4 linked regions of the Oreochromis niloticus genome follow. The protein of the gene in region 3 interacts with the protein of the main gene of each other region in a pairwise test. Links are inferred from orthologs where the notes say so. Each region holds a gene or a part of one and is shown on either strand. Other genes may lie near its edges. The genes, in order: tfg, serf2b, protein boule-like and RNA binding protein fox-1 homolog 2.

Evidence for each region.
Region 1: the proteins of protein boule-like (region 3) and tfg interact in binary tests that used the Homo sapiens proteins (3 or more experiments, as listed by UniProt). The two-hybrid records come from large-scale screens. The link is inferred for Oreochromis niloticus from reciprocal best matches to the Homo sapiens genes BOLL and TFG.
Region 2: the proteins of protein boule-like (region 3) and serf2b interact in a two-hybrid assay, tested with the Homo sapiens proteins (2 studies listed by BioGRID and IntAct). The two-hybrid records come from large-scale screens. The link is inferred for Oreochromis niloticus from reciprocal best matches to the Homo sapiens genes BOLL and SERF2.
Region 4: the proteins of protein boule-like (region 3) and RNA binding protein fox-1 homolog 2 interact in binary tests that used the Homo sapiens proteins (3 or more experiments, as listed by UniProt). The two-hybrid records come from large-scale screens. The link is inferred for Oreochromis niloticus from reciprocal best matches to the Homo sapiens genes BOLL and RBFOX2.

The regions. Positions count from the first base shown.
Region 1 is NC_031987.2:22,289,069-22,296,567, reverse strand, and holds the start of tfg (protein TFG), read right to left. Parts: upstream 3,021-7,499; 5' UTR 2,991-3,020; coding exon 2,807-2,990; intron 2,659-2,806; coding exon 2,575-2,658; intron 1-2,574. Other genes in the region: jagn1a (protein jagunal homolog 1-A), read right to left, coding at 5,531-5,993, 6,079-6,119. UniProt on the Homo sapiens protein: Plays a role in the normal dynamic function of the endoplasmic reticulum (ER) and its associated microtubules. Required for secretory cargo traffic from the endoplasmic reticulum to the Golgi apparatus.
Region 2 is NC_031965.2:28,316,868-28,324,544, reverse strand, and holds the start of serf2b (small EDRK-rich factor 2), read left to right. Parts: upstream 1-4,655; 5' UTR 4,656-4,797; coding exon 4,798-4,804; intron 4,805-5,563; coding exon of another isoform or gene 5,564-5,570; coding exon 5,571-5,679; intron 5,680-7,572; coding exon 7,573-7,639; 3' UTR 7,640-7,677. UniProt on the Homo sapiens protein: Positive regulator of amyloid protein aggregation and proteotoxicity. Induces conformational changes in amyloid proteins, such as HTT, driving them into compact formations preceding the formation of aggregates.
Region 3 is NC_031986.2:13,037,058-13,044,146, forward strand, and holds the start of protein boule-like, read right to left. Parts: upstream 3,005-7,089; 5' UTR 2,922-3,004; intron 2,834-2,921; 5' UTR 2,822-2,833; coding exon 2,795-2,821; intron 761-2,794; coding exon 632-760; intron 541-631; coding exon 449-540; intron 294-448; coding exon 239-293; intron 117-238; coding exon 41-116; intron 1-40. UniProt on the Homo sapiens protein: Probable RNA-binding protein, which may be required during spermatogenesis. May act by binding to the 3'-UTR of mRNAs and regulating their translation.
Region 4 is NC_031969.2:9,183,270-9,190,479, reverse strand, and holds the start of RNA binding protein fox-1 homolog 2, read left to right. Parts: upstream 1-4,195; 5' UTR 4,196-5,041; coding exon 5,042-5,296; intron 5,297-7,210. UniProt on the Homo sapiens protein: RNA-binding protein that regulates alternative splicing events by binding to 5'-UGCAUGU-3' elements. Prevents binding of U2AF2 to the 3'-splice site.

The sequences.
Region 1 (7,499 bases), on a different chromosome or scaffold from region 3:
GAGCAGAGCACAGGAAACAACATCATGTTGTTAATACAGTTTAGACAGTAGAGAATGTGTTTTTTAATGACAGATTTGATGCTGGTTTGCTATGGTTACGAGTCACACTTCTTCGTAGCTGTAGGTAATGTTCTACCTACTAAACAGCCTAAAGTTGGACTGTGACTTAAAGCATGCTTAAGGTGGTACCCAATCATAACTATTCCAATATTTTCATTGGATTTTTAAAACACTTCAGTTCACAGCACTACTGAAAACTTACTGACTTTTCATTGCCCTTGAGCAACTTTTTCACAAAAAAAGTACTTATCGCAAAAACATAGACAGTACTGCTATACAGTCCACTGAGATGAGACATGCCTTCCTGTCTACAATTCAGTTAGCGAGCAGGCAGTTAGACACTGAAGCACAATCAGGTGCTCCAAGCTTCAAATATTTGCTGGTTGTTACAGTCCAATCTCCAGAGCCCAAAAATGGTATTGGTATGCTATCTGTTTCTAAACTGACAGAACTCCAACACTATTTAGTTACAGCCAGGAAAGACAATCCTCTAAAACACAAGCCAAACACTGGACACAGTCTCAGCTGTTGTGTTAACAGAATAACAAAACACCTGTACTGTAAAAATGGCCTCCCAGAAAGTTTGATTAGTGAAAGAATCAACTTAAAATTTCACAGGCTCAGAATATTTCTTCTCTTACCACCTAGCATTAATATACAGCTTTGCTGTGACTGAAAGAAAAATAAATCTGAAAATGTGGTATATCTGATCATATATATTTCAGTCAGCAAGGATTATCAATACACTTCAGTGTAAGCAAAAGTGTACCTTTTTCCTTAGACATAAGAATAATTAACTGATGGCCTATTTAAAAATAATGCATTTTTATATGTAGTGTTTCATTATGGCTTTAAAAACATTTTTTCCATGCATTCATCGGTTTTCTACTACTAATCCGGGTTAACGGTCTAAGACCTCTCTATCCAGTTCTCCAAGGAGGCACTGAGGTGTTCTCAAGCAAAGCAAGGGCCATCATCTCTTCAGCATGTCCTAGGATCTTCTACCAGTTGGGCATGCTGGAAACACCTCACTTAGAGGCATCCTAAAAAGAGACAGCTCCTCACCCCACCACTAAGGGAGGGAACCCATTTTGAACACTTCTATCTTCAGTCTCATTCTTTCAGTCACTATCCAAAGCAAGTGGCAATAGGAGAATATAGATCGACTATTATGATTGTAAAATATTAAATATTACAAATAAAATGTATAATTTAAATGTTAAGCCTCCTATTAACCACAAACCTGTAAACAATGAGGCTAAAACGTGTACAGCAAAAGCATGGTTGACACAGCCAGGCTTTCTTAACCCTAAAACTCCAATCCTTCTGCTTCAGAGAGGAATAACAGCCAAATCATACTCTGAGCTTGATTCTTGGGAAAAAAATACTTAGGAAAATTATGATCCTTACAGCTGATTTGAAATTTAGAACTCTGAACATAACCTGCTTAAGGTTATGTGTTCAGCATATTCACTATAGTGATATATTATAGCGAAATAGCCAAGGGCCCTGTGATAGGCTGGCAACATGTCCAGGGTGAACCCTGCCTGTTACCTACTTGTAACCCCGCACTGAAAAAAGGATGGATGGATGTAGCCCAGTCACAAACAAAACAAACTTGCCTAAGCCCATTAATCTCAATGTTGAGTACACCTCTTTGATCAAAGTCCACTTTTTTACCATTTCATTTATCTTAATCATACTTTAGGAAAACTAACATACTAAGTCCTATGAAATCCCAGAAATTTCATCACGATGTTTTTACTACCGACAGCAACAAGGCTCGAATAACATGTTAGGGTGAGGCATATTGGCTGGTCAGGTAACTGATTATTCAGCGAGTTACACCTGCTGAGCTATTGAATGACTGTGGAATTATCTGGGCGGTGCAATGGTTTAGCCCAAGAGGTTGAGGTGGCGACCCATAAGCTCTAAGGTCTTTGCAGAGGCTCTGGTTCGAACCTGCTCCAAGCTATTTTCTGTCCTGAATGTCCAGAATAACTGGTACAAAATACACACATCTACTACCTGTCATAGTGTTTGTTTGTTAAATTGGTGCTAAGAAACAGCGAATCCAAAACAAATTAGTCAGAAGGGAGTGTAGATCATTTTCATTTGGACAGTAACGATGTTTGCTCTGTGGAAAATTAAGCTAGACTGCCCTCCAGTGACTGGCTGCTGTAACAGCTGAAATAAGAGACTAAACATCTACAGCAGGGGTCCCCAATCTCAGTCCACGAGGGCCGGTGTCCCTGCAGGTTTTAGATGTGTCCTTGATCCATCACAGCTGATTTAAATGGATAAATTACCTTCTCAACATGTCTTGAAGTTCTCCAGAGGCCTGGTAATGAGCTAATCATGTGATTCAGGTGTGTTGACCCAGGGTGAGATCTAAAACCTGCAGGGACACCGGCCCTCGTGGACTGAGATTGGGGACCCCTGATCTACAGCCTTGAATTCATCAAGGCAAAAACATGCATACAGTCCGTAAGAGGAAATGTGTTAATTTCTTACCAAACAAAGTCAGTTTGAGTATTCTACTACACTGGATGGCAAATGAGAGGTCAGAGCTGTCAAAAATGGTAATGAGGTCATCATCTGTAAACAGGAAATGGGGACAAAAGATGATTAACTGTACAGCAAATTGCCACTTTCAAAGAAAATATGCTGAGATTACCATCATGAAGTACACTTGTCACCAGAGGACAACCGGACCCTCACAGGCCTTTTCTGTGTCCTGACTCACCTTCATCCTTGTATTTGATAGTGACCTCGTCGTTACTCTGCAGCTTTCCCCTGAAGACACGCTGCATCATGAGCACCAGCTCATCATAGGTAATGTCTTCATTATGGATGGGAATGCGTCGGATGTCGTCACCCAACTGGGCTTTGATGATCAGCTTCCCGCTCAGGTCCAGCTGGCCGTTCATGGTGCCGTCTGACCTCTTCTGCTCCCAGCACTTGACAAAGGTAGAAGAGAGGTGTTCACAATTTCAGTGCAGCCCTGAACTCTTCTAGGCATTACCCAACAGGGGGTGACACACAGTCACACTGAACACTGGCCACTCTTTAACCTTCCAGCTCCTTAGTACCAAGTAGGGTTGTATAATTACTCAAGTTTGATTTGCAATTACGATTTCTTCTACAGTTTTTAGTGATTATCAAAGGCTAATTCAGATAAAATAATTATTATTACTACTTAGGAGGTATGCATACTGCAGTGCCAGGGCACCACTAGTCAGCAAAATGACAGTTAAAAGAACAGCAATAAGTGTGCATGGCATTCAAAGCGACATGTATGTCTATCTTACAGAACAGAATATATAATTATTAAATTAAGCCCCTTTTAAAACAGTGGAAAATGCTAGGTCAGAATAAGTAGGTCAACAGGTCAGCTGCTGTGAGAACAGTCCTATGATTACATTAATATGCCGAAATTAACAGCTTGTCTTCACTGTCACAAAGCTCTCATAATGTTGACTGAAGCCTGTATGGGATTACACACAGAACAGGAGCGCTCCTCCCTTGACTTAAATTATTTAATCAAACACAGCAACGAAACCATGTCACTCCAGAGTCTAAGGGTCAAACATCTTCATGTGAGGTGGCACAGGCTATAGAATAACAGACCTCCTTGTAGACTTTGACCTAAAATATCATCTCTTCTGATAGGAGAAAAACGCTTTCAAAGCCATTTGGCGAATCATATAAATGATTACAAAGTAATCGCAAATTAAAACCCATTTTACTCAGATCATACCGGTAAAACGGATATTTCTTTGGGGGGAGGGGGGTATGTAATAACAGGCCTGCACTCATCAAACAAGGTGGGGTTAACATACTGTGTTAAGTTAACGTAAACCTCATCGTTCGTGTACAGTCACGAGTTGGATTAACTCTGACGTTACCTCCTGATGTTGTAAGCTCAGCAATATACTCTTTCTGTCCGGGCCAGATGAGTAATTGGCTGGATGCTAGGGATTGGGTGGTAGCTAACGTTTAGCGTACAGTAACATTCAATGATTACGACTGGGAAAAAAAATTAAACCGAAACGGAGTCTAACAAGTTAATTTCTAGAGCTCTGGAAACAAATCTTAAAATATCACAGAAGCGAAAGTAAAACTTTTATATAATAGCAAAAGTCGCAGTCATTTATCAGTGGCCCATCAACAAACAGAACTGACTGCTAACGCTTGTTAGGCCGTTTCACCACTGCCATTGCAGTGTTTACTGTATACGTTACATACACTTAAAAAAATGAATAATCTGTTTAATTTCCTGATGTATATCTGAAAAATCTGGAATAATAACACTTAGCTTTTACTTTATGACAATGAGTCGTCAACAAGCTGTTTCCTGTGTAACTTATAACAGCTCTACCTATAATAGAGCTACGTAAGAAGGTATAAACTGATCATTTCCCTACTTCACCTTACATAGACTCGATCAGATCAGTTAATTGACGAATCTTTTGTTAAACAACTCCCTCTGTATCACTCTCGACACCTGTTTGGACGAGCTAGCGTAGCGTTAGCTCCCTGCGTAGCTAGCTAGCACCACAACAGTACGTAATAGCATAGAAACTGCTTTGTAGTTAAATTATAACATAACTCGAAGTAATGTTTATACCTGAACCAGACGACTTGACCACGATGTATTTCACGGGTTTCCCCAAACCGTGAAAATCTAATCTATTAGCTAGCCTAGCTAGACCCGGGCAGCAGCATCAGGAAGTGTCCTCCAGACTGTCAACGTCAACCAGTACGTGGCATTCAGTGTGCGCAGCCGCAGACCGACTGGAACAAAGTGCGTTGAGAGCGTTCACAGAATTTCAGCCATCATGTTGAATAGCGTTTATTTATTTATCTTTTGAACACTGGATAGCTAAGCACGCACAGAGTCTGCAGTAAAGCGAAGCTGGTGTTCTCGTGCTGCAAGAGAATATCTTAAAAACAGCAGTGCATGCAGATACTGTGAATGCGCCCATTACAAAAACCAAACAAATATCATAAGAGGTAGACTTAACATACTGAACAAATAAACACATGGCAAAGCATATAGTTTAACAGTTTGTAAGTGTGTGTGTGTATGAATAATTGCTTCAATACTGTAAGTATGAACTTCACATTTTCTTTAAATCATAGGAAGACTTTTTGAGAGAGACACCAACATTATTCTTTTTTCTTTGATTGGAGAAGGGCTGAATTCACAGTGACTGGACTCCATTTTTATCGCTGGTGCTTTGGATCCCAATCCCAACCTAACTGTGTGTGCAAGAAATCAATCTGCTGCTTTAAATAAATAAGTTTATTGAAATGAACAATCATTAGCTTTAAATTAAAATCAGGGATGCAGGATGAATCATATTACATAATCATGAAGACTAAGGAGACAGAACTCACGTATAAAAGAAAAGAAAATGAAAAACAAGAGTTTTGTCCATTCACAGATTAAAAAAAAAAACCTCCATTATTTGTTCTTCTTCTCTTGAGTAGCATCAAACCATGAATCCAGCAGTTTTTTCATGTAGTACAACTGCCAGCCATGCACTTGAGCAGCAACCACTATAACGATGTACGCAGCAGTCACTGCAGAGCAGCCAAAAATGAAGCGGAAGGCTTTTCCTTGACGGAAGAGCTGCTTTGCTACAGGAAACATCTCCATGCCACCATATATAAGAGGTGCAAAAGAGAAGAGCCCTGCACTGATCATTGACAGGACCAGGTAGCTGATGTTGTTCTTTGGGAGGGACAGGCTGCTGAAGAGCAGAGGGAAGATGCTGAGCAAGTAGGGGTACTCCCACTGGTACGGCATGGACACAGTGTCCTGTGACACAATGTTGAAGTGGCTGACGGTCACTTGCGCGGCCACCAGCAGCCAGATGAGAAAGTGGACCACATTTAACTTCCGTATCTCTGACTTCAGAGAAGCGCTGCAAAACAGAAAAACAGACCATCAGACTGCAACTCAGAGACAATGTTCATATTTATTGACAAATGCCAAACATAGATACTTGCTTCATCTGGTACTGTGGGGCCATCCTTAGTTTGTTTTTCATGTTTGGAGAAACCTGTTAATGCACAAGACAAATAATGTAACATGCAAATGACTGCAACCAAAGAGCATACACTGCTAAAAAAAATTGTGATTTCATCAAATTTCATTGGAATATTTAAAATCCAGAAGACAATCAGGGTATTAAAAGACATTTAATATTTAAAGCTGCAAAAGGACAGTTTCTTACATTCGAAAGCTGGAACTAACTGGTCAACCAAGCAATATGACAGATTTAACCTGCTAATGTCCCAGTGTGCGAAGAATCAGCCTGGTAAATGCAAGGACACCGTGAGGAGAGAGATAATAGAGGATACAGATTCAGCCATAGTAATATTAAACGTCACCGTTTCCCAGCTGTCACAACATGATGCAAACAGCGATTTAAACAGAAAACGGCCGTTTTCGCGCAGACTAGTCGTGCTGGGATTTGAAGCATTAGCTGCTACTGGCTAACCTAGTTTAGCGTTTACTTTGGACAGATACGTTTTGTACGTTAGTCTAGCATTTTTATTTATTTCTTTGTTATCGCCAGTAACGATAGTAGCAGAGTGAACTTGGCTTACCAATGATGTTTACACCTGACTTTTTCAACGTTTGGCCGAGCTCCTTGTTTAAATTTCAATCCAAAGGAGATGTGCTGAGTGAACATCAACGACAGCTTTAAGCATGCGCACTGACGACCGACATCCCTCGGCAGCATCAGCATCTTCTTTTCACATCACAATCAATAGTTCTGTTATCGTATACTGTTTATTTGGTAGTATTGATTAAGTTAATTAAGTTGATTAAGCATGGTTGTCACACTCTACAGGGCTAAAATGCCAATTTTTAATGTTTTTCTGCAAAAACGAAAAAGATGCTGACTTTAAGAAATTTGATTACATGTAAAGTTTTTAGGTAATTTTGTTACATAAGTACAATTGAAAACGTCAAATTAAATGGAAATTGGTCAAATGAAATGTACTTGATTAGTATAGGTTCATTTAATTCATTTTAAGCATATAATGATTGATTATCTAAATATAAATTGTTTAATATAAATGTAAACAAATATTTACAGACTGGAAACCTGTCTAGAGTGTACCCTGCCTCTGTGTTTTTGTTTGTCTGTTTGTTTTATTGTTTTTAAATCACACTATTAGATCGAAATTCAGTGCTACAAAGCATACTTAATATCGATATTGATTTTCAGGCAACAGTTCTTGATGAATACACTTAAGGCATCCTGATATATGTTTATTAAACCATGAGGGTCAAGTGGGTCAGATATGTTAAGCCTATAAAACCAGATCTCATGGAGGTGTTAAGTGAATGGCAGTGTGATTTTTTTTTTACTCATTCTTCTCTTCAAACTCCCTCTGATCTCTTCCAAAAAAAATAC
Region 2 (7,677 bases), on a different chromosome or scaffold from region 3:
TGTTGGTCTAAAAAAACCCATCTGTTGTACAACCATTTAATATTGTTTCTTAAAGCTTAAATCCAAGAGCCAGTATTGCTTTTCAATTAGATTATCGCTCATCACATAGTCAAATCTGCACAAAAATTTGTTATATGCACAGATTGAACTTCTGAATTAAAAGAGATTTCTGCCACAGCAAATTTCTATGTAATGACAGGACAAGGACTCTTACTGCTAATGTTAAATTTTCTGGTTAAATATAGTATGAAATTAATGGAAAACAGGCTTCCCCTCCCCCTATCATCTCCCTTTGATTAAATTGGAGACACGGCATGAGGAGCACCAGTTTCACAAGGACGGCATTAACAATTAGAGGCTTTGTAAAGCAGAAGCAGTCAACACTGTCAAAATTACCAGGTGGTGATAATTGCACTCAGAGACAGAAATAGTTTGCTTTAAGCTCGATGCTGTCACTGCAAGCAGCTGTGGGGAAAACAAGTCATAGGCAGACATCCTGGGCTGCCCTGCGTCGCCAGAAGCCCAATAAACTGACCACAGTGTTTGACATGCTGTCCTACAGGCTGTTAAAGTCTTCACACTCCAGCACGCAAGTGGCATGATGAAGCCATGGCTGTTTACCCACTAGATCCTCTGCTTGCACTCGCTAAAAAACTATCTCCTAAAATTAAATGACCCCATCTAGGGCTTTGTCGAGTCATATATGAATGATTTTGGTAAAAGATGATTGCATTTCTGGTGCATAAACAAGAAAGTTAAGACTATTCAAACCCCTTCATGAAGGGACTGAAGCCGAATAGCATGATAATGTAAGTACGATTCCAAGGAGAAATAGATGCCTGGTAAAGGTCTCTTTACTCTCTTTGAATATGTTAATTAAACGAATTCAAATATATGAGCATGAACATTCCTAAATATAGCATGTGGATCACACTTATTACTTCAAGACACATGGGTAGCTTTTGAAATAAAAAACTGGCTTTTTTAATGGTTCCATTTTTACTTTACCGACTTTAACAACCAAATTTAAATTACAATAAATGGAAGCAACAAGTGGCAGTGATGTTATTAAATTTGTGCTAAGAATCAGATGAAGCCTAACAAATCTGATGCTGGAGAAATGAAGCAGATCAAATGATAAATCTATTCAAGTTCTGTTCTGTTCATGATCTGCAGTGAATGAATCATTATGATTTTGGAAAGAACTAAATAAACTGCACCATTATTGCATGTTTGGACAATACTTGGTTTAAGATAAAATACTTGCACTACAAGTGATATTCACACCAGCCTCAGCTGTATTTTCTTTAATATCACAGAACATTAACACGTAAAAGGAAATAACTAAAGCTACCAGCATAAGATGAAGAAACAACTGTTACGGCTTTATAATGTGCTGTGCTGAAGAGCTGTAATACCACTATGTACCACAAGATGAGGCAGTGATTGAAAGTTACTTTTAGCTAGTTAAGTAATTAAGAGTGTGTAATTGAGTCGCTTCAAAAAAAACAAACGCATGAGAATTTTAAAATCTGCACACACCAGAAAGAAGCTCAAAAATTAACTGTTAGCAAAATTGCAGTAGCTTTCAACGCAAGCATGGTAATTCTCTCTTTTAGCGTTGGCTTGGTCAACATGGCTAAAGTTTCTTTCTTAGAGACAATAAAGTTTTATTACAACATTTATTCACACTGGGCTTTCTTCTTCAAACTGAAATAACTTTCAGTTATTTGGAAAAAGAAATTACATCCAAAAATGTTCCATTAAAGCAACTACTCCCTAATATGTTTCTTTAAATAGTTGTTTTTTTTTTATGTAACTCCATCTGAGAATCCTTGTGCTGCCAACACTCAGCTGCTGGCTGACTTTGAGCTTGGAGTTATTTGCCAGGTTAAGCTCAAATAAAATATGCTGCAGCAACAGCCTACAGTAAAAATCAATACAAAAACAAGCATTCTCTTTGCTGCTAAAGGTGCATAAATTGCACTCCAGCCAGTGATGTATGACTACCTGTCACAAGGACATTTCCAAGGGACTGTTCATTATTTTTGTGGTAAACATATAATTTTGACCTGTAGGATTTAATGAGAAAAAAAGGGTATTTGATCACTTAGAGTAAGTTTTTAGCCCGGCGTGAGGAAATAACATGCAGAGAGAACTGCAGACCAGAACAAACTTACAGAATATAATTACAGTCTAAGAAGACCTTATTCTTCACCCAAATAGACTGTTGGCTAGACAATTGCAGCAGCAGTTTGATAGTTCATTGTATTCAAACAGTAATTATGTCCCTAAAATACAGTATTTGCCTTTGAGAAAGAAACCCAACCCTGTCTTCATTTTCCTCCTCCAACTCATTTCCACCACTATAAACACAATTTGGGATTTCTATTTTAAAAAAATGCACACACACTATAGCTGACACTAGACTCAGTTTCAGTGTGTTCTTCAGTTTGTTTCATATTTTTATATCAACATAAAATAAGAAGTAAATATATAAGGGTATTAGGCAATGCAAATTATGTCTTTGTCTATTCATAGCGGTGGTGTCTGTGTACAAGTTCAGTTTTGGGCAGACATGACTCAGTCATTTAGTGTATTTAGCAACCAGACAGTGAATAAAGTCAGAATATAAACACTGCTAAGAAACATCACATGGTTTCCCAAATGGTTTTCCACTTAAACAAGCCCACGTTTTGCTATTCGCCTTAACAGAAAAATGTCACATTTTAGATGATTTCAGGGAAGTTACTGTAGCTTTTTGTTTCAAGAGTTTTACCTGATCTTATTAAATGTTTTTGTATTATTATTTGATTGAAGCATTTTAGATATGGAATAATTAGCTTTGATATTTTTATAGTTTAAATGCTTTCTATAAAGTATGTAAATCGCCGAATGTCTTGTTTGTGTGACCTCTTTCCAAATTTACCTTAGTATAGTCTGCCACCTACTGGCATCTTTGCAGTCAGCTTTTAAGGAGTCACTCACCATCTCAGAAAACTGTAACCGATCTCTCATTCTACTAAATCAATATTTGTAAGCATCCTTTGCCAGATTTGGACTGCACCTTGTGATGTTTCATTACACAATACCATTAAGGAGCATCTCACTAGTTTCACATTCAGTGGGTAGGCTTGCATTTTGAAAGGAAAGTTTATAGTTTTACTTTGCCAAATTAAAAGAGTCACATAACAGGAAATAAAAATGAGTACGAGGTAGTAAAATTATTCAACATGCGGTCACCTGGAATCAAATCACATCTGATGCTAGAGAAATGAACCACAACAAATGTTAAACCTACCTCCTGTATGTATTAGATGGCTTCTTCAAGCTTGAAAATTATGGTGCCAGTCATATTCTTAAAACAAATACTACTGTAGGCAAATCCAGGGTGCGAAGAGTTGAAATGCAAGTTTTATAATATGTCTTCTGCCTCCTGCTGTTGATCAAAAGACCAATTAGGCCAATTAGGAATCATTAGGAGTCACTAGGATCATTATTTCATTGTGTGAACAGTCAAAAGCACCCGATATTAACAAATGTTTTGGCCAAAAAGAAAAAAAGGAAATCTAGCTTAAGACAGTCATACATGTTTGGACAAAAGCATTAAGCCAAATCTTTCCATATACCTCTGAATATTGGTGTTTTTGGTCACAGCCATGCAGTCTTCCTTTACAAATATTTGAGAAATTAAAGATGTAAAGTGTATAGAATGACACCATTGCACCAAGTTAGGTCATGAATTTTCAACTCTCTCAGATAATCCACAATCAGCTCTAAGTGATATTACTGTAAAGTGGAAGGGCTGATTCAAGACCCTTGATCTGGCAGAATGGTCATTCAATATTTGTAAGCACCCTGTGCTAAATCTGGAGTGGTGTGCAAGAATCTTTGTAATGTTTAGGTTCTTATTCATCATGTAATACCACCAGAGCGGCAGCTGACTGACTAAACCATTGATACAAGGCAGACCCATGCTTTCATATTGTTTATGCTAAATTCTGATTACTGTCATCTCTTGGCATCCTGGGACCTTCTCTATATTTCTCCAGCAGCTCAAAGCAAACATCACACCTGGAGTTTCATTCCTTCTTGGAATGAAGCTGTACTGCACACAAATTCTTAACTCTCCTCTTAACTTAGCTGTAACAGCTCTTTCCCATAACCTAATGGTTTGACTGATTAACTTTATCCCTCTGTATATTATTATTTTTTCTGGCTTGTATACTGAACTTCCTATTTTCCTAATAAAATATCAATAACTGAGGGGTGTCTCAAGACTTTTGCTGTGCTGTATTTACTGCATATACTTTGTACTGTATATATTCCTTTAACAGTTTTTCCACCATTTAAATTTTAACACACCGATGTTGCAGTCCTTTGCTGCCTCTTTCCCAAACCTTTTTGAAACACGTTGGCAGCGTCATATTCACAAAGAAATAAAAAAGCGTCATAATTTGAACATTTTATATACGGTTCATTGATGGTCTTTGTATTTTCTTTTTAACATATATTATATGCAAAGTCATTGCAAAATGCTAAAACGTAAAAAAATAATAATCATTTAAAAAAGTCACCCCTTTGCAACTTCACCGTCGTGGCATGTTGACGACCAGCCTTGACGCATGCGCAGTCCCGTGTGGCTCGACGGAATGTTCTGGTTATCTTGCGGAAGTCTCGCGCATATTTGGCTCGCGACCAAACTGAAAAACAGCAACGGGAGCGTCGAGAAGGGAGTCAGCGGCCCTTTGGCTGAGCTCGTCTGGATTTTTGGGGAAAGAAGAGTCGATCACTAAAATGACTAGTGGGTACCGACATTTATTACGCTCTGAGGGATTCATGTATTTGGTCGGATGCTTGTTTTCCGTGTTTGTTATTTTTGACCAATGGTTGTCGTTGATCGACTTGGGTTCCGTCTATTTAATGTAATATACATTATCCTATTTGACAGATTCAATAGAGGATTGTCGTTTTGGGCAATAACTTAAGGACGCGATTAATTTGGCCGTTTTAGTTGGTTTATTTAAGGGCATAGACTTATGCTAACATGTGTTACATAACGTCCCGTTGTACTTGTGTTGGCTGTGGGTCGCTTGTTGTCCGGGCGTTACTCTGAGCCCTGGCCTGTATGTGTGGACGCAATACAGAAACAAAATATGGGTGTTTTGGTCTAAACGCAGCTTCCGTGTTTTTACTAGTAATATTTTTTTTTTTCAATCCTGCACATGAACTTGGAAAAACCGTGGTAGCGGCGGATTCTTTTGCTGCCCTCTGTGCTGTTGTTCTGGCTAAGAAAGTGCTCCGGAGCGCCTCTCTGCCACGTCGGCTGCTTTTGAGCGCTGCACCATCTTCATTTTTCATCGTGCAGATCATAGCATGCTCTTTTTCTGTTAACTATTCGACTTGTAGACACACAGATTTCCTTTTTAATAATAATAATAAAAATTCAGCTTGTGTTTTATTTATTTTTTGCTGGAAGCAACTTATGTCAAGTGTCTCATTATAAGGCGCAGCTTTTTCGTCTGATTTGTTGTTGTTGTTTTTTTTTACCCTTTTTATTGACATGACAGGAGGAAACCAGCGTGAGCTTGCACGCCAGAAAAATGCTAAAAAGCATACTGAACAGACTAAAGGCAAGAGAAATGAGGATGGGCTATCTGCAGCTGCCCGGAAACAGAGGTAAGCCTGCAGTCTGCAAGAGATTAAAGAAGTGTAGGATGCACACTAACTAAACAAACCAAAGCATAGTTTTCTAAACAGCACAAGGTGACGGAAGTGGTGCACATGTTAAAGGTAAAATGTACTAACAATTAGGAGAATTCATTAGTTTGTTTTTTAAGTATTTCATTTTATAGTTGTATTATAATTGTCCAATTAAAATGGGTACATTATTATATATTTACATAAATACGAAAATATAAATGTATATATTACATATTTTATACATCATTATAATATATATTGCAGCCTTCATTAATTCCACACCTAATTATATACTTATTATTAGGGCTGTTCGATATAACGATATATATCGGATGACGATATAAAAACGTCTATCGTTTCATTTTACGCTATCGTTTGTTTCGTGGTGTCGCAAAATAAACTGTTTACGGCAATATTTTTTCATTATTTTGATGGTCACTGTAGTGGCTATATTAATTTCCTAAAGTTCTCTCTTTCTCTTATATTTAATATAACCACACTACAGACGGACAAGCGCTTGTTTTTATGCGTTGTCGTTAGCAACAACGATGGTAAAACCACCTGGTGTCCGCTTGTTTATTTTCCACATAAACCTTTCACAATAAAGCTCAAGACCCTTTTGAGACTTTTCAAAATAAACTGAATCACGTGAAAGATGCAGAGTATTTACGGATGAGAAGCAAAAAAAGAGCCGTCAGGTGCTAAAAAATAAACCTTAGACTCAAACGATAGAACAGGCTTTTCCCTGCAGCACGCTGTGTAATAAATACTCACAAAGAAAACGGTGGCCGTTACAATCTATGTCTAAAAATGTATCGTTTCATGCATCAGTTAAAACACTCGACTCCAGGTACGCAACGCCCAGCTGGAAACACTTCACACAAGTCGAGCTGCCCGACATTCACAGAATTTACAGAATATGTTACATTTTTGTGATTTATATCGTTATCGGATGATAGATGTCTTAATATCGGGATGTGAGATTTTGGTCATATCGCACAGCCCTACTTATTATTGTACTATCATTATACTGTTCTTTATTACTTACTATATGTTTCCATTATATACCTATTTTTATGTTTTATTCAATTGATTATAAAGGCTATAATTCTATTAAGTTTTTTAATAATTCTTAGTTTAAAAAAAATAAGGGAAAACCCCCAAACAATATTGCAATATTCCTAAAATTGTCAATATAAGTGAAACATCTCATTATGAAACAAGGCTTATTATACAGTTTACTGAGCAAGTCTTTTCAGCACTATATCCACATTATGACCAGTTAACTGCTCATTGATAAGGCTTTTATTGCATAGGGGCGTTTGCTTCTTTTTTAGGTAATTAAAAAAAAAAAAAATCGTACAGCTTGTTGATGTGATTCTAGTACACCATATTCAGGGGTCTCTGGCTCTTTCCCCGGAACTTTTGTACATGTAAGCACCGGTTCTTGTATAGTAAAGGCAATGGATCAGTGTTGTCTTACCTAACAGAAGTTATTTATCCTATATTTCTGAACCTTTATTAATAATAATAAAAAACAAAGACACAAAACCATCTTATGCTTGAGTAAATTAAACCCCACCAAAAAATCCCCAAAACAAACAAACAACAACAACAACAAAAAATGTGTGTTGCAGTACTTTAGGCAAGGAATTTGTCTTTCAAACAGTTAGACATATATTACACATAATGTGATTGTTTTTGTGTGTGTGTGTGTGTGTGTGTGTGTGTGTGTGTGTGTGTGTGTGTGTGTGTGTGTGTGTGTGTGTGTGTGTGTGTGTGTGCGCGCGCGCGCGCACGCGCACGTGCACATTTCAGTCTCCTAATAAAGCTTGTCCTCTCTTGAAATGTCTCCCTTTTCTCCTCCAGGGATGCAGAGATAATGCAACAGAAGCAAAAAAAGGCAAATGAAGCAGGGAAAGGAAAGACCAAGTGAAGAATGAAGTCTTGAGACGAATTCAGCTCGGTGTCTCA
Region 3 (7,089 bases):
TACATGTTCAAACACCTGCACTACTGGACCGTCAACCTACTTTGACTTGAAGGTTGATGCTTTCGAAAAGCCGGACCAACACTGAGCTTCTTGTCTTTGAACGTGACTCCATTAGTCTGTAAAAGCACATAAACAGACGTACAGACAACAACATAACATATAGACAACATATTCCAGTCAGATTGCTTGCATTATTATATGCATGAAATATTCCAATGCAAGACACTAAACTACTTACATTGTTGAGGATTTTCAGAGCATCTTCTTGAGTTTCAAATGTAACAAACCCATATCTGTTGAAAGACAAAAGACAGAGCGTGTTTTACTGTGACAGTAAATGTGTAAATAACGCTTATAACGCTTAAATTCAAAGCTGAGAAAATCAGCTGTGCATACTTTATCATTCAGTCGGACTCTGTGTATGAGAGGAAAAAGACAATGAACTCACCCCCTCGACACTCCTGAATGATCTAAGACAATCTTCACCTCTTTCACTGTGCCGTGTTGAGAAAAAATGTGTCGCAGGTCACGCTCATTAACCTTGAAACACATTCGTTTGGTTCATCATTGCAAAAGAGATTTTAAATCATGGTCTGAATCATTTGTTCTACATTATTTCGGCAGCCCTCACCCTGTAGTCAAGTGCCCCGACAAAAATCCTGTTGGGGATCACGTTGCCAAAGGTTGTGCTGTGGTCTGTCAGGCTGTCAGCATAATCATCTGGAAGTAGCACATCACTTGGGGAGGAACTGCCCCCGCTCTGGGAAACAAACACCAAATATAATTTTGTGTGAACAAGTTGTTGGAATGTTTCATGTCCAGCTTTCAAGCCAAGAGCAATTATTTTATTTGTCCTACCAAAATTTCTGTATTTATGAGTACATTATTGTGCAAATGTAAAGTGGAAAATACATATCTCTGTTCACTCAGGCCCAAAGACAGCGTGTACTGGTCTTACTCTGGGCCAGTAAGAAACTCTACACGTAATGAGGTTGGCCTGATTTTTTAATTTCTTTCCCAGAAAGTAGTCAAGATTAAGGGTACTAAAACTTAAGTACTACACTTACTGGACAGTTTATTAGGTACACCTTGCCAATACTGGGTTGGGCCCTTTTTGCATTCATGGCACAGATCCAACAAAGTCCTGGAAACACTCCTCAGAGACTATGTTCCATATTGACATGACAGCATCACACACATCCATGACGTGATTCTCTCATTCCACAACATCCCAAAGATGCTCTTTTAGATTGAGATCTGGTGAGTGTGGAGATCATTATAGTATTGGGTCAGGCAGGCTGTGGTGTTTAAACAATGCTCACCTGGTCCTAAGGGACCTGAAGTGTCAAGAGAAAATATCCCTGATGATCATGTTGATACACAGCAGGCTAGATCCGTGCTTTCACATTGTTTACACCAAAATTCTGACTCTACCGTCTGCTGCAGCAGACATTGGGACAGTCCTCAGCCCAGCAAAGGTTTCCCAGTTTTCCTGAGCCCCTGCACACTGCAACCTCAGCTTCCTGCTCTCAGCAGACAAGAGTGTCACCGCGTGTGGTCTTCTGCTTCTGAACCTCATCTGCTTTAAGGCTGAAAGTGGTGCTCCTTCAGAGTTGCTCTTCTGTATACTTTGCTTGTAACGAGTGGTTATTTGAGTTGCTGTTGCCTTCTCTCGGCTCAAAGCAGTCTGCTCATTCTCCTATGACCCCTCACCTCAAAAAGGCATTTTCACTCAGAGATTTCCCCTCACAGAAAATTTATATTTTCCAGACCATTCTCTCTAAATCCTAAACATGGTTTTGTGGGAAAATCCCAGAAGATTAGCAGTTCCTGACATACTGAGACCAAGAGGTGCAGCAGCAGGATTACTTGGTCATGTGACTTTGAGTCACTTACTTGCTCTGTGATTGGCTGATTACATGTGTGTCTTAAGGAGTAGGTACCTAGCTTTACTTAAAGTGGTCAGAGATTATAAATCCCACTTCTATTTACACAACATGACTCGTAAAATGAATGTAGCCATGTTCATGAGGACATTCTGCTCTGAAACTTAACACTTAATCAAAACTAACAAAATAAATAATTAAACAGCAGGTTCTTAAACCAAAGTAGATGTACCTTCAACCTGAATACATAAGAAACTACAACCACAAACGTTTATGCCTACAACAGGGAAAAAGCAAAAAAAAAAGAAAAGTAAAAGAAAAGATGAGAAGTGTGCAGTCAGCCTGTGGGCTGGGTAAAAATTCAATTCCTTTAAAGATTCACTTCAAATGTCCAGAAAATATGGGGGAAAATTGTCAGGAAGATACAACAGAGCGAAAAATGATTAGCAATTAACTTAATGAGTGTTTCCCTATAGTTTAAAGGATTGTGTGAAAATTGAAAAGAAAAAAAGTTACTCAAACAACACAAACTTTCCAAAATTATCTTCAACGAGCATTAATATTTCTCAGGTAAAAATAGTTTAATTCGCGTAAAGTAGAACAGCGTGTCCCATTAAAGTGTATTTAACGTCTTAGCTACTTTGAATTAACCTATTTAGCTAGCATATATATTGCACAAGTTAATTCCAAGTTAATTAGCATTTTTCTTAATGTATTTTTCACGTAAACTAAGATTATAACCAACAATTTATTGGACATAAAGTAGCTCAAAAGTATCGAAAACTAACTCTGATAAAGTTTATATCACATAACATAACCCAGCATTACTTACTTACCTTAGCTCCGTTAGCTGTTAGCTAAAATAATTGCGCTCAAAGCGGCAAGGGCAAACTTGGCAATGCACTCACCTTTTGGCTCGCCGCTTCCTTAGCCATATTATTCTGAAGCTAAAAAGATAAATGCACGTTACTGCTCTGATTAACGGTGGCCTATTCACGATTTGGCTAATGGTTGTTACACGGCTTCATTGCTCACCTCCGACCGTTAGGTTAGCCTTCACCACTCACACGAACTATGACCTCATCGGTTGGTTTGTGTATCTAGGAAAGCAAAGGAAAGGTAAAGGTGACGTAACATTTTTATTAATTACTCTAAAAGTTGTTTTTTTTAATCTCCCATTAAACTCTGTATGGAAGCGTGTTTCCACCACAGATTTTTTTTATTTATTTTTTTTGTCTTAAGTCAACATTTTGGGATATTATCTCAAAATTTCAAGGTATCAACTTTTCGTGTATTTTCAGAAAAAAAGCATTAACAGCATTCAGTGGGCTACATACTGAACTTAGAAACCCACATCCTGTTGCGCTACTATCAGTCAAATCTAGTACCAATATCCGCACTGCGATATTTGGAATGATACGCCCACCTCTAATGTATGCTCTTATTTTAAGTACAATAATAACATGTTTTCTCAAAGTTAAATTGGGTATTTATGTATATTTTTCCCTAAGTCATATGATTTAATAAAAACGAGATGTTAATACACGTTTTAATTTTTTTTCACGTCTTAATAATTCCAGACAATATCATTTTATAATAATAAAAGAAATCCTTCCCTGGCTTCTTTCTTCCCTTTAATAGAGCAAGAATAGCCACAATGTCCTGTTGGGTTTTGGGTGGGGAAATGTGCTAATTTTGAACCTAAAATGTGCTTAACTGCTGAGTCCTTTCCTGATTAAAAAAAAAAAAATTATGGGCATGGAACAATTTTTCTGTCCTACTTCAGTCCACATTTGTTGTATTAAAAAGTACAGTACTAAAAAGTGGCCACATAGAGGCGCCATTTCTCTGTTGCTAACAAAGGCACAGGTAGTCACAGAGACCCAGGACGTATCGGATTCAAGCATGTCCTTCTCTTTTCTTTCTGTTTGAATTATAGAAATGAAATTTTTGTTAAATGTGAAATATTGTCAAAGAAATCTGTCTACAAAGTTCAATTCAATTCAATTCAGTTTTATTTATATAGCGCCAAATCACAACAACAGTCGCCTCAAGGCGCTTTAAGTTCACAAATATCTCATCACTGACTGAATCCCTTAATGCTGATTAAACACACACAACTTATATTTCCATTTAAAAGTCAATTCTTTGTTTTGTTTTAATGTGTTTTAATATTATGTCCCTCGCCGTTAAGAGCTGCAGGAAAAAGTAGAATAGAGTGACTTTTCCACATTTCCACATTTCTTTCCTCTCCTGATCCTTCAGGAGCCACTTCAGATGTTGAGCAAAATCCTCACGGAGCCATAATTTGTCTATGATTGGCTGCAAAGTGTTCTGAAACGCCATCATTTGCATCTCGTGCCCCCCCACCACCACCACCACCTTTTTGTGCTCCTCCCTAGGACCACAACAAAGTGACACTGAACACTGAACAAAGTCTTCAAGAGCTGGAGGGTGGGGGTGGTGGCAACCAATTCCATACCTAGTAATACTAATAGTGAATGAAAAACACACAAGCAGGAACAGGATTTTCACTCAAACACATCCATATTATTATGAATAAATGTGCAAACACAGTTTATAATCCACTCAGTGTGTAATTCTTCTCAGTCTGTGTTGCACATTTCCCACCATTACACCCTTCTGTCTCTGGATTGCTTGCCCTCATCTGAGTAATGTGGGCCACACCATTACTTGTCATTCATTTCCAGCTTTCCTTAATTGCCGGGGTGAATTTGCCAACGAGGTCTGACTGTGCAAAATGAGAAGGGCATGTTTGATAATTACAGCAATTTACGAGCTAAAAGTCCTTTTATACTCCACAAAGATCATTTAAGACACAAGTGCTGTCAGGGCAACTCGCCTGGCTGTTTGAGTTTTCTCTGGAAACAAAGGAGAGTGAAGGTTTTATTCTGTGACTGTTTTAGTTTGTCGCTTTGTATTGACTACTTTCATTTCCTCTTAATATTAATTTTCCATGTTATACATCATTTTTCCCCCCACCCCGTCATTGCTAGGGAATGTTGTGTGTCAGAAGTCTTTCTATCACTGCGTTTCAAGATTCAAGACTTTTTATTGTCATCAGACAGACAAATTAGGACAATTCTCCATCACATGGTTCCAAAAAAGGACTTGAATAATATACATATATATATATATATATATATATATATATCTACTCATACATACACCCATAAATACATATATATATGTACATGACAAATATATATATATAATCAGTTAGATTGGGATGTTATATTGCACTGCTGGACTGAACATGAGTTATTTCCATGCCATGTGTATGTCTATGTAATGTATATATGTTTTGCGATCATTTCAACCTTCAATTGACTTAAATCAAACAAAAATGACCTCAGATGAGTCTGAATCAGACACAAACTGCTGACTTCACATTCAAATGCAATATTTAGGTTAAAGTCATTCGTTGTGTCATCTGTCTTACATCGGAGTGAGTAATTTGGCCCAAAATGAGCCTCGCGCTGGAGGGGTGCAGGCTTTGCCAAATGCAGAGGAAGAGGGCTGGTTTTAATCTGAAATATAAGGTTTGGAGGTAGCTTATTTCTCATCAAAAGTATTGATATGAAAATGACAAAAAGCAGATTTTCTGTTTGTTTATTTCAGAGTAAAAATACTGAGGTAAGTGTTCCAAAATAAAATCAGTTGTGCCTCACAGAGATTCAAATCTATCCAGTCTTGGTTTTGTGACAAACAAGAGGTAGAGAGTAAATAACAGGCATGGAAGAAATAAAATGGAGGTCAAATATCAGGTCAGACTCACATTCCCATTGAAAAAAGGGCCCGTTTTTACCTCAGTCGGTCAGTCACTCAGACAGTCGTGGAGACAGAGGTTGATGAAAAATGAGCCGTAACAGAAGGGTTCAACTCTGACTCTGTAATTACTCTACAAATCTCTGATTTCCCCTCCTTCATCTCCAGACTATTTATAGCTGCTGCATTCCTCTCAGAGAATAAAATGATCTCTTTGAGACAGTACAATGCCAGAAATAACAGGTTTGGACAAACATTTGCTGAGGCGTGGTGGGCCTGGCTGACCATCGCTGAGTTCCACTGTGGTTTCAGTCTACTGTTTTTTTCCCCCCTCGTCCATTTATTCATCTGTTCTTCTAAATGTGCTCGGGGTGGGGAGGTGGTGAGTAAGATGCGATGGCTCGACAAAAGCAGCTTGAACGGAGCGGGATGAAATCACTTTGTAGCAGAGCAGGGGGTTTCTAACACACGAGGGGATTGGGCGAAAGAAAACACACAAACGCGCACCTTCATGTCTGCAAACACTCAGGTGCCTACAAGGCCCAGACCTCCCTCTTTGTGCATCACTGTGTTTATGTTACAATCATATGGATTTGCTGGCAAATATGATCCACTGAGACATGTGTGAATATGTGTGTGTGTGTGTCCTTGCGTGCCAGTGTGTTTAGGTTATCAGAGGAGCTTTGCTATCGACTGTGTTTTTTGTCAAATTTTGTTTGCCAGAATGAAACAAAGATCATATGATGCCTGCTTAGCATCCAGGCTTCATATCCAATTTATTTAGACCAGTGTTTAGAAAAGGCTGTGTGGGTAAATGAATGGGTAATGCTCCTTTCAACTTTGGACCACTGGGCCAGATGACCCCCTAATTTGGGGTAAGTTTATACCACTGAGTAGAAGAGATTTTTTTTGGGGGGGGGGGGGTGTCATTGTTTATAGTATATTGTATGGAGTTTTGGTCTTCAGTATGTCTAAATTCCCTAAATGTATCCAATGTGAACTAAGGAGCTTGGAAAGAAAAGCGTCTGGACTTCTTGAGTTGCTTGAAGACGTTTCATCTCTCATCCGAGAAGCTTCTTCAGTTCTAAGGGTCAGTGGTGGAGAGTCCCAGATTTAAACCTAGTGGGAGACTCTCCACCACTGACCCTTAGAACTGAAGAAGCTAATCTCTACTTTTGTGGACCCAGTTCTATTTGATTCAAAACCTTGATCTAACGTTTGTTTAAGGTTATCCTACTCTTTTTCAAGTTTCAAAATTCCTGCCAATAAAACCTCAGACTATGCAAAGGACCCTAAACATAGGCTATAGTGGAGGAAATATGAAGCTACTGTAGGAGTCCAGGACTCTGTTAGCTTAGCTCAGCATAAAGATTAAATCAAGCTACAAAGGTTTTAAAGCCATCCAACTACACAT
Region 4 (7,210 bases), on a different chromosome or scaffold from region 3:
TGATGAACAATGGTCTACAGCCAATCTTGTGTATTATTATACAAACTTTGGTTGTAAGATTCAGATAACTATTTAATAAAAGCTAAATATTTTATACAGGGAGTGCAGAATTATTAGGCAAATGAGTATTTTGTCCACATCATCCCCTTCATGCATGTTGTCTTACTCCAAGCTGTATAGGCTCGAAAGCCTACTACCAATTAAGCATATTAGGTGATGTGCATCTCTGTAATGAGAAGGGGTATGGTCTAATGACATCAACACCCTATATCAGGTGTGCATAATTATTAGGCAACTTCCTTTCCTTTGGCAAAATGGGTCAAAAGAAGGACTTGACAGGCTCAGAAAAGTCAAAAATAGTGAGATATCTTGCAGAGGCATGCAGCAGTCTTAAAATTGCAAAGCTTCTGAAGCGTGATCATCGAACAATCAAGCGTTTCATTCAAAATAGTCAACAGGGTCGCAAGAAGCGTGTGGAAAAACCAAGGGGCAAAATAACTGCCCATGAACTGAGAAAAGTCAAGCGTGCAGCTGCCAAGATGCCACTTGCCACCAGTTTGGCCATATTTCAGAGCTGCAACATCACTGGAGTGCCCAAAAGCACAAGGTGTGCAATACTCAGAGACATGGCCAAGGTAAGAAAGGCTGAAAGACGACCACCACTGAACAAGACACACAAGCTGAAACGTCAAGACTGGGCCAAGAAATATCTCAAGACTGATTTTTCTAAGGTTTTATGGACTGATGAAATGAGAGTGAGTCTTGATGGGCCAGATGGATGGGCCCGTGGCTGGATTGGTAAAGGGCAGAGAGCTCCAGTCCCACTCAGACGCCAGCAAGGTGGAGGTGGAGTACTGGTTTGGGCTGGTATCATCAAAGGTGAGCTTGTGGGGCCTTTTCGGGTTGAGGATGGCGTCAAGCTCAACTCCCAGTCCTACTGCCAGTTTCTGGAAGACACCTTCTTCAAGCAGTGGTACAGGAAGAAGTCTGCATCCTTCAAGAAAAACATGATTTTCATGCAGGACAATGCTCCATCACACGTGTCCAAGTACTCCACAGCGTGGCTGGCAAGAAAGGGTTTAAAAGAAGAAAAACTAATGACATGGCCTCCTTGTTCACCTGATCTGAACCCCATTGAGAACCTGTGGTCCATCATCAAATGTGAGATTTACAAGGAGGGAAAACAGTACACCTCTCTGAACAGTGTCTGGGAGGCTGTGGTTGCTGCTGCACGCAATGTTGATGGTGAACAGATCAAAACACTGACAGAATCCATGGATGGCAGGCTTTTGAGTGTCCTTGCAAAGAAAGGTGGCTATATTGGTCGCTGATTTGTTTTGGTTTTGTTTTTGAATGTCAGAAATGTATATTTGTGAATGTGGAGATGTTATATTGGTTTCACTGGTAAAAATAAATAATTGAAATGGGTATATATTTGTTTTTTGTTAAGTTGCCTAATAATTATGCACAGTAATAGTCACCTGCACACACAGATATCCCCCTAAAATAGCTAAAACTAAACACAAACTAAAAACTACTTCCGAAAACATTCAGCTTTGATATTAATGTGTTTTTTGGGTTAATTGAGAACATGGTTGTTGTTCAATAATAAAATTATTCCTCAAAAATACAACTTGCCTAATAATTCTGCACTCCCTGTATGAGAGTAAGAAAGAAAAGTATATCTTTGTGTCCACCTTTCTCTGTTAATGCCCTACCTGGCCCCCTGGCAAAAGCTTTGCTAGATCCGCCCCTGCACATTTACCAGCTGTCAGCTAAATAAAAAAAGGAGCTTGGTGTTTATTTCTCTCAGAAACAGTTCATAACTTCCCTTCAACTCATTCATGTCACCTAAAAAAAAGGTAAACCTGTTTCTCCATCACCAGTTCAGCTCTGATGATTCAGTAAGGTCATCTCCTGGTTTCGACCAGCCGCTTCTACAGCTGTGGCTCCAGCAAACATCAGCTGATACTAGAAATTAAAATCAAATGAATTCTAACAACAGCTGATCAAGCTTAAACGTGCTGCTGTTGTTTAGCGCGATAAACAAACAAGAGAGAAAAGCCGATCATTGATCAGTTTCATGACTGAAGTTTGAACAGGCGAGAGAATGACAGGGGAGGCTGTCATAAAGTTCAACATCAGTAACTTAGTGCGCACACAGCTGTATAGAAACTCCATCGTGCTAGCTACCACGCAGTACGAGTTATTATAACTGATTGTAAAAAGTCAGCACAACGAAAATAAACTACACCTAAACTCGGTTTATATCTGACCCAAATAGAGTGCAGGTCATAACTTCTTACCTGAAATTCAGTTCACCTCACGCTCCGACCGGCAGCCGCCTGCTTCTCCTGCCTTCGGTTTCCCTGATCCACGATCTACCACCGGTCGATCGGCGGTCGCCTCGCCGCCTCGTTCCCCGCATGTTCTTTCTGACACACACCGGTGGATAGCTGCCCTCGGTTGTAGCTCCGCGTCAGCGACTACCAAACAATTCAGTTATTTTTTCCACATCGACCAGCATCTGGACAATCCACCGCCTTTCACTGTTTGTACCGTTACTAAAAAAAAACCCTCATCGGCTCATAAAAACGAAAAATAAGTCCAGCTATGACCCTGAGTCAAAAAGACAGCCAGCTCGGGTTAGCTAGCTACCTGTCTAGCTCTTTGCAGGCACCGAAAACATCAGAGCTAATATGGGATGTCTTGGTAACACGAGCAGATATTTGAAGTTTACATCTGGCCAATCCACCACCTTTCACTGTTTATACCGTTACTAAAATGAATAAATAAATAAATCATCGGTCCATATAAACGAAAAATAAGTCCAGCTAAAACACATACTGTCGGCGAGCGACCGGGTGCTGACACGAGTTTCACCCGCCTCAATATAAGCCAAGCCTGGGTGCTTTTTCATGAAGGGTCGCTAGCGGTGCTAGCTAACTATGCTAGCGGCGCTAGCTAGCTAGCCGGCTATCAGCAACACATAAGAGAACTGCTGCTAAATAAACTACACCTAAACTCGGTTTATATCTGACCCAAATAGAGTGCAGGTCATAACTTCTTACCTGAAATTCAGTTCACCTCACGCTCCTGCCTTCGCTTTCCCTGATCCACGATTGACCTCCGCATTAGCAAACACCGGTCGATCGGCGGTCGCGGCATGTCCTTTCTGTCATACACCGGTGGATAGCTGCCCACTGTTGTAGCTCCGCATTATAGCACCACCAAACAACTCAGTTATTTTTTCCACATCCAGCTGTAACTCCGATTCTGTGCGAGCATTTGCGAGAGACCGGGGAGGTGAAACGACAGAGAGAGTCCCCTCGCTATCCATTTGCAGCCAAGTGCGGCAGCTAGCTAGGTAGCCGGCTAGCTGTCAGGCAGGACCGACGTCGTCAGAGCACTGTCGCTAAATATGGGATGTCTTGATAAAACAAGCAGATATTTGAAGTTTACACACCTACATTCTCGCCTGAAAATATCTTAAAAGTTTATTTTGTGACCTAGAAACATGAATAAAAGACATATAAAACGAAGTGGTGGCCGCCATTGTTCACTCTGTAGAGGCGTGCTATGAATTGTGGGATATGGAGTTTTCAACACAAGGATAAATCTTTTCGGCTGTACTACTCCCGGTATACCACTAGAGAGAGCCAAGACACCACAAATGAAGTCTGTTTATTTGGCGCCAAAAGATGAATTGGCCTAAATTTGTACTAAAATATTAATATTTAAAAAACTATAAAAGTCATAAACACCAAAAGTCACAACATAATAGTCCAGCTCCAGCCGCACAAAATGATCTAAGATATGTAATCCTAATGTCAAAACTGTTTGGCAGAGGAGCGCGGGAAAATTTTCACTAAAATATTAATATTTAAAAAACTATAAAATTCATAAACACCAAAAGTCATAGCACACCATTCCAGATCCGGCCACACAAAATGAGGTAACATATATGAAGCTTGTCTCAAAACTGCGGGGCGTGATACGTGCCGAAATTTAGGCGGAAGATGGAGAATAATAATAATAAGAATAATAAATCCGACGAATAGTAATATGTGTGCCTCTTGGCATAGGCACACATAATAATAAATCCGACGAATAGTAATATGTGTGCCTCTTGTCATAGGCACACATAATAACTGAGGGCAGAGGAGGAGGGAGCTGTGAGGTGGTGGGATCAGGAGGGAAAAAAGGAGGAGAAGGAGACCGAGGAAAGGCAGACCTCAGACCAGCCCGCCTTACCTCACTCCCCCCTGTCCGCGAGCCCGGTGTTCACGGGCAAATCTGACCGCAGATCAGCGCACTCGCGCTCCCTCCACACTACGAGTTACACCAACTGGGACTGAGACCAGAGGAAATCGTGTTCGTCGGTAGCCAAGGTACGCACGCCAAGACTCATCCACAGCAGACCGAGGCGAGGGAACGGACAAGAAGGGAGAGAATTCAAGGGGAAAGCTGGTAGGAACCACAGAGGAGTTCACTGCAAAAGAAAAAACCCCACACGTTTAGGGGCGAGAGGAGAGGGTGACTGGCTGGCCCCGCAGAAGGAGTAGTATTACTCGAAGCTAATTTCCAACATTTTCTATTCTTGGCAGCGAGAGTGTGCTCTCCGAGCCACATTTATAAAGAGAGCTAGCGGAATGTAATGCTAGCAGGCTAGCCGATGTTAGCTAGCTAATTAGCTTGTCAGGCATCCGAGAGTCGGACGTGTGATCTTTATTAAAATAGGACACTGTCGTCGTTTTTCTTTTTTCAGGGGGGAAAAAGAGAGGGACAACTGTACTTAATGTCCTTTTTGCTTGATTCTGCCATGGTTTTAAAGGTTTGTCTCGCATAGCTAAGGCTAAGTTAGACAATAAACAGTGTAAGCTTGTGTATATTGATGAAAATCCGTTCAATATTATCCGTCTGGGAAAAGCCAAATCCATTGTGAATATCGAGCCGTTGACAAACCCAAAGGAGAAGGCAAAGGTAACAAAAGAAAAGAAAAAGCCAAAGAGACTTTTGACTGGTGACTGTCTCCCGTCCAATGTTAATGTCGACCGACGTTGCATCTATTATGCTACCCGTTAGTCGGGGAATAATGGACCGGGAAAGGGACATTGATACAGCAGCCGGACCCCATGCAAACGCGGCCGGGGGTCCAGCCGTGGTCCGAGGGATGAAGAGAGGCGATCCGGAGCCCGACGCTCAGACTGCCGCTGCCCTCACTGACTTGTCCGGGGCGGAGTGCAAAAGACCAAGGATAGACGGGACCGGGAGTGTTGTTGGTGACATTGGCCAGGTATGAATGCAGTGTAAACACAAAGGATATGTTTCTCACATCTGTGTCGTTTTGTTTCCATCTGTTACAAATGCTGCTCACTGAACTCAGTATCATCCGCCCTCCTTTTCCTTCTTCGCTGTTTTTTCTGTTTGTTTCTAAGCATCAGCTAGGAAGGATGATGATGTTTTTGACAGCCCCCCCCCCCACGCATTTCCCCCTCTAGATAATCATGCATGGGTGCAACAGCAAATCCTTTAATTAAAACAAGCCAAACGCAGGAAAAGTGTCTCAGTAGTAAACGCGTTGCTTGCTGTGATTATCGAGGCTTGCTGTTTGTTCCTCTTGGTGCTGCTCTGACCAAACCAGACAAAGGTAATATGATCCAGGCTCCATTGCTATGACAGTCCCAGACACCACGGCAAAGATCAGAGCCATTCATCATGCCTGCCTCACAGAAGGTAAACCAATGCTTTGTCACATGTTGCGAGGGATTTTGTATTTTTATACTTATGTGGATGAAATTACTTTGAAATGTGCGGATAATTTGTCAGTGAGTCCTGACACACACATGGAGGGCATTTAATGGCTCCGTGTCCCCCCCCCCAGATTGTCGCTAGGTGTTAAAAGAGAGAGGCAGACAAGGATTGGGGGAGGGGTCACCACAGAGAAAGACAAAGAACAGAGCCTTTTTTTGAGCTTGAAGGAGCGAAGGGTCTCTGGGGGGCCTCCTTAACACGGGTCTTCCCTTGCTTTTATGACTCAAATGCTGAGACAGCAAAGCATCAGCGACCGTTCCTGCCTCCCCGGACCAACCTGTGTACGTTACAGTAAACTAAAGAACTGCCGAGGCGAAGGGTGCACCTCTCACTTGTTCTGCCTGGATCTCTTGCTATTTATTTCTCTCTTGCAAACACACAGCACGCATCATTCCTACACCTACACACACATGCTTTGAAGTGCCCCCGTAATGCAATAGTACAAGAGAAAAATTTCAGCTGATGTCTGTTTTTTTTTTTTTTTTTTTTTTTTTTAAAGACCAGGAAAACTGCTCTAACGGTAGTCGAAGGGCAGGCGGAAACGACTTGAGGTCGTCTGCAGGTAATTGAATCCCGGGGAAACTGGTAAAATGCTTCAATGGGCTGTGCAGCTGACCCACTGCAAAGACAGAAAGGTCCAAGTGTGATGCTGTGATGCTCAGTGAGCCTCACAGAGGATGGATGTTGATGATGGCAAAAGGTTATAGCCCGCTGGCAAAGATGATGTGACAATGAGCAGGGCGGCATGTTGTGGATTCTCGCTGCCCATCGGTTGTATTGATTGTTGGGGTCGGGGTGGGGTCGTGTAAATGGAATAAAAGGGAGGATGAGGCTACAGCAAGAGAAAGAGAGTGCACCGAAGGTTGCACGTGGAGGATAAAGAGAGGAAAGCAAGGATCGTGGTTTAATTGGGCATAGTGTGCGAGTGGATTAGAGGAGAGGGAAAGAGGTGTGACTGGGGACTGATAGATGGATAGATGTGGGGATTTTGGGGTGGGGGTGTGGAGGTGGGATAAAGGAGACGGAGGGCAGAGTGAAAATCTGAGCCGTTAGTTTGCATCCATCAGGCGGCATGATAAAGTATGCGAGGGAAGTGATGGATGGCAGGCATGACACCATCAGTTGTGGAAGAGATAAGCATGAGGACAGGGCCTGAATGATGATAATCAGCCCAGTGACACTTTATGCAAAGGATAAATAAATCGGAAAATGACATTGAGGGGATGTATCGAGTAGCTCTCGGGCGCTGCATGGCTGCTCGCGATGGAGATGATGACTCCAGTGGATGTCCCTTGAACTAAATGCACCCAGCAATTACTGTAGGGCTCCCGCAGTGAGCTCGAGCTGGTATACTTCTGACCTTCCAGGCTGACTGTAAATCAGGACTGTAATAATA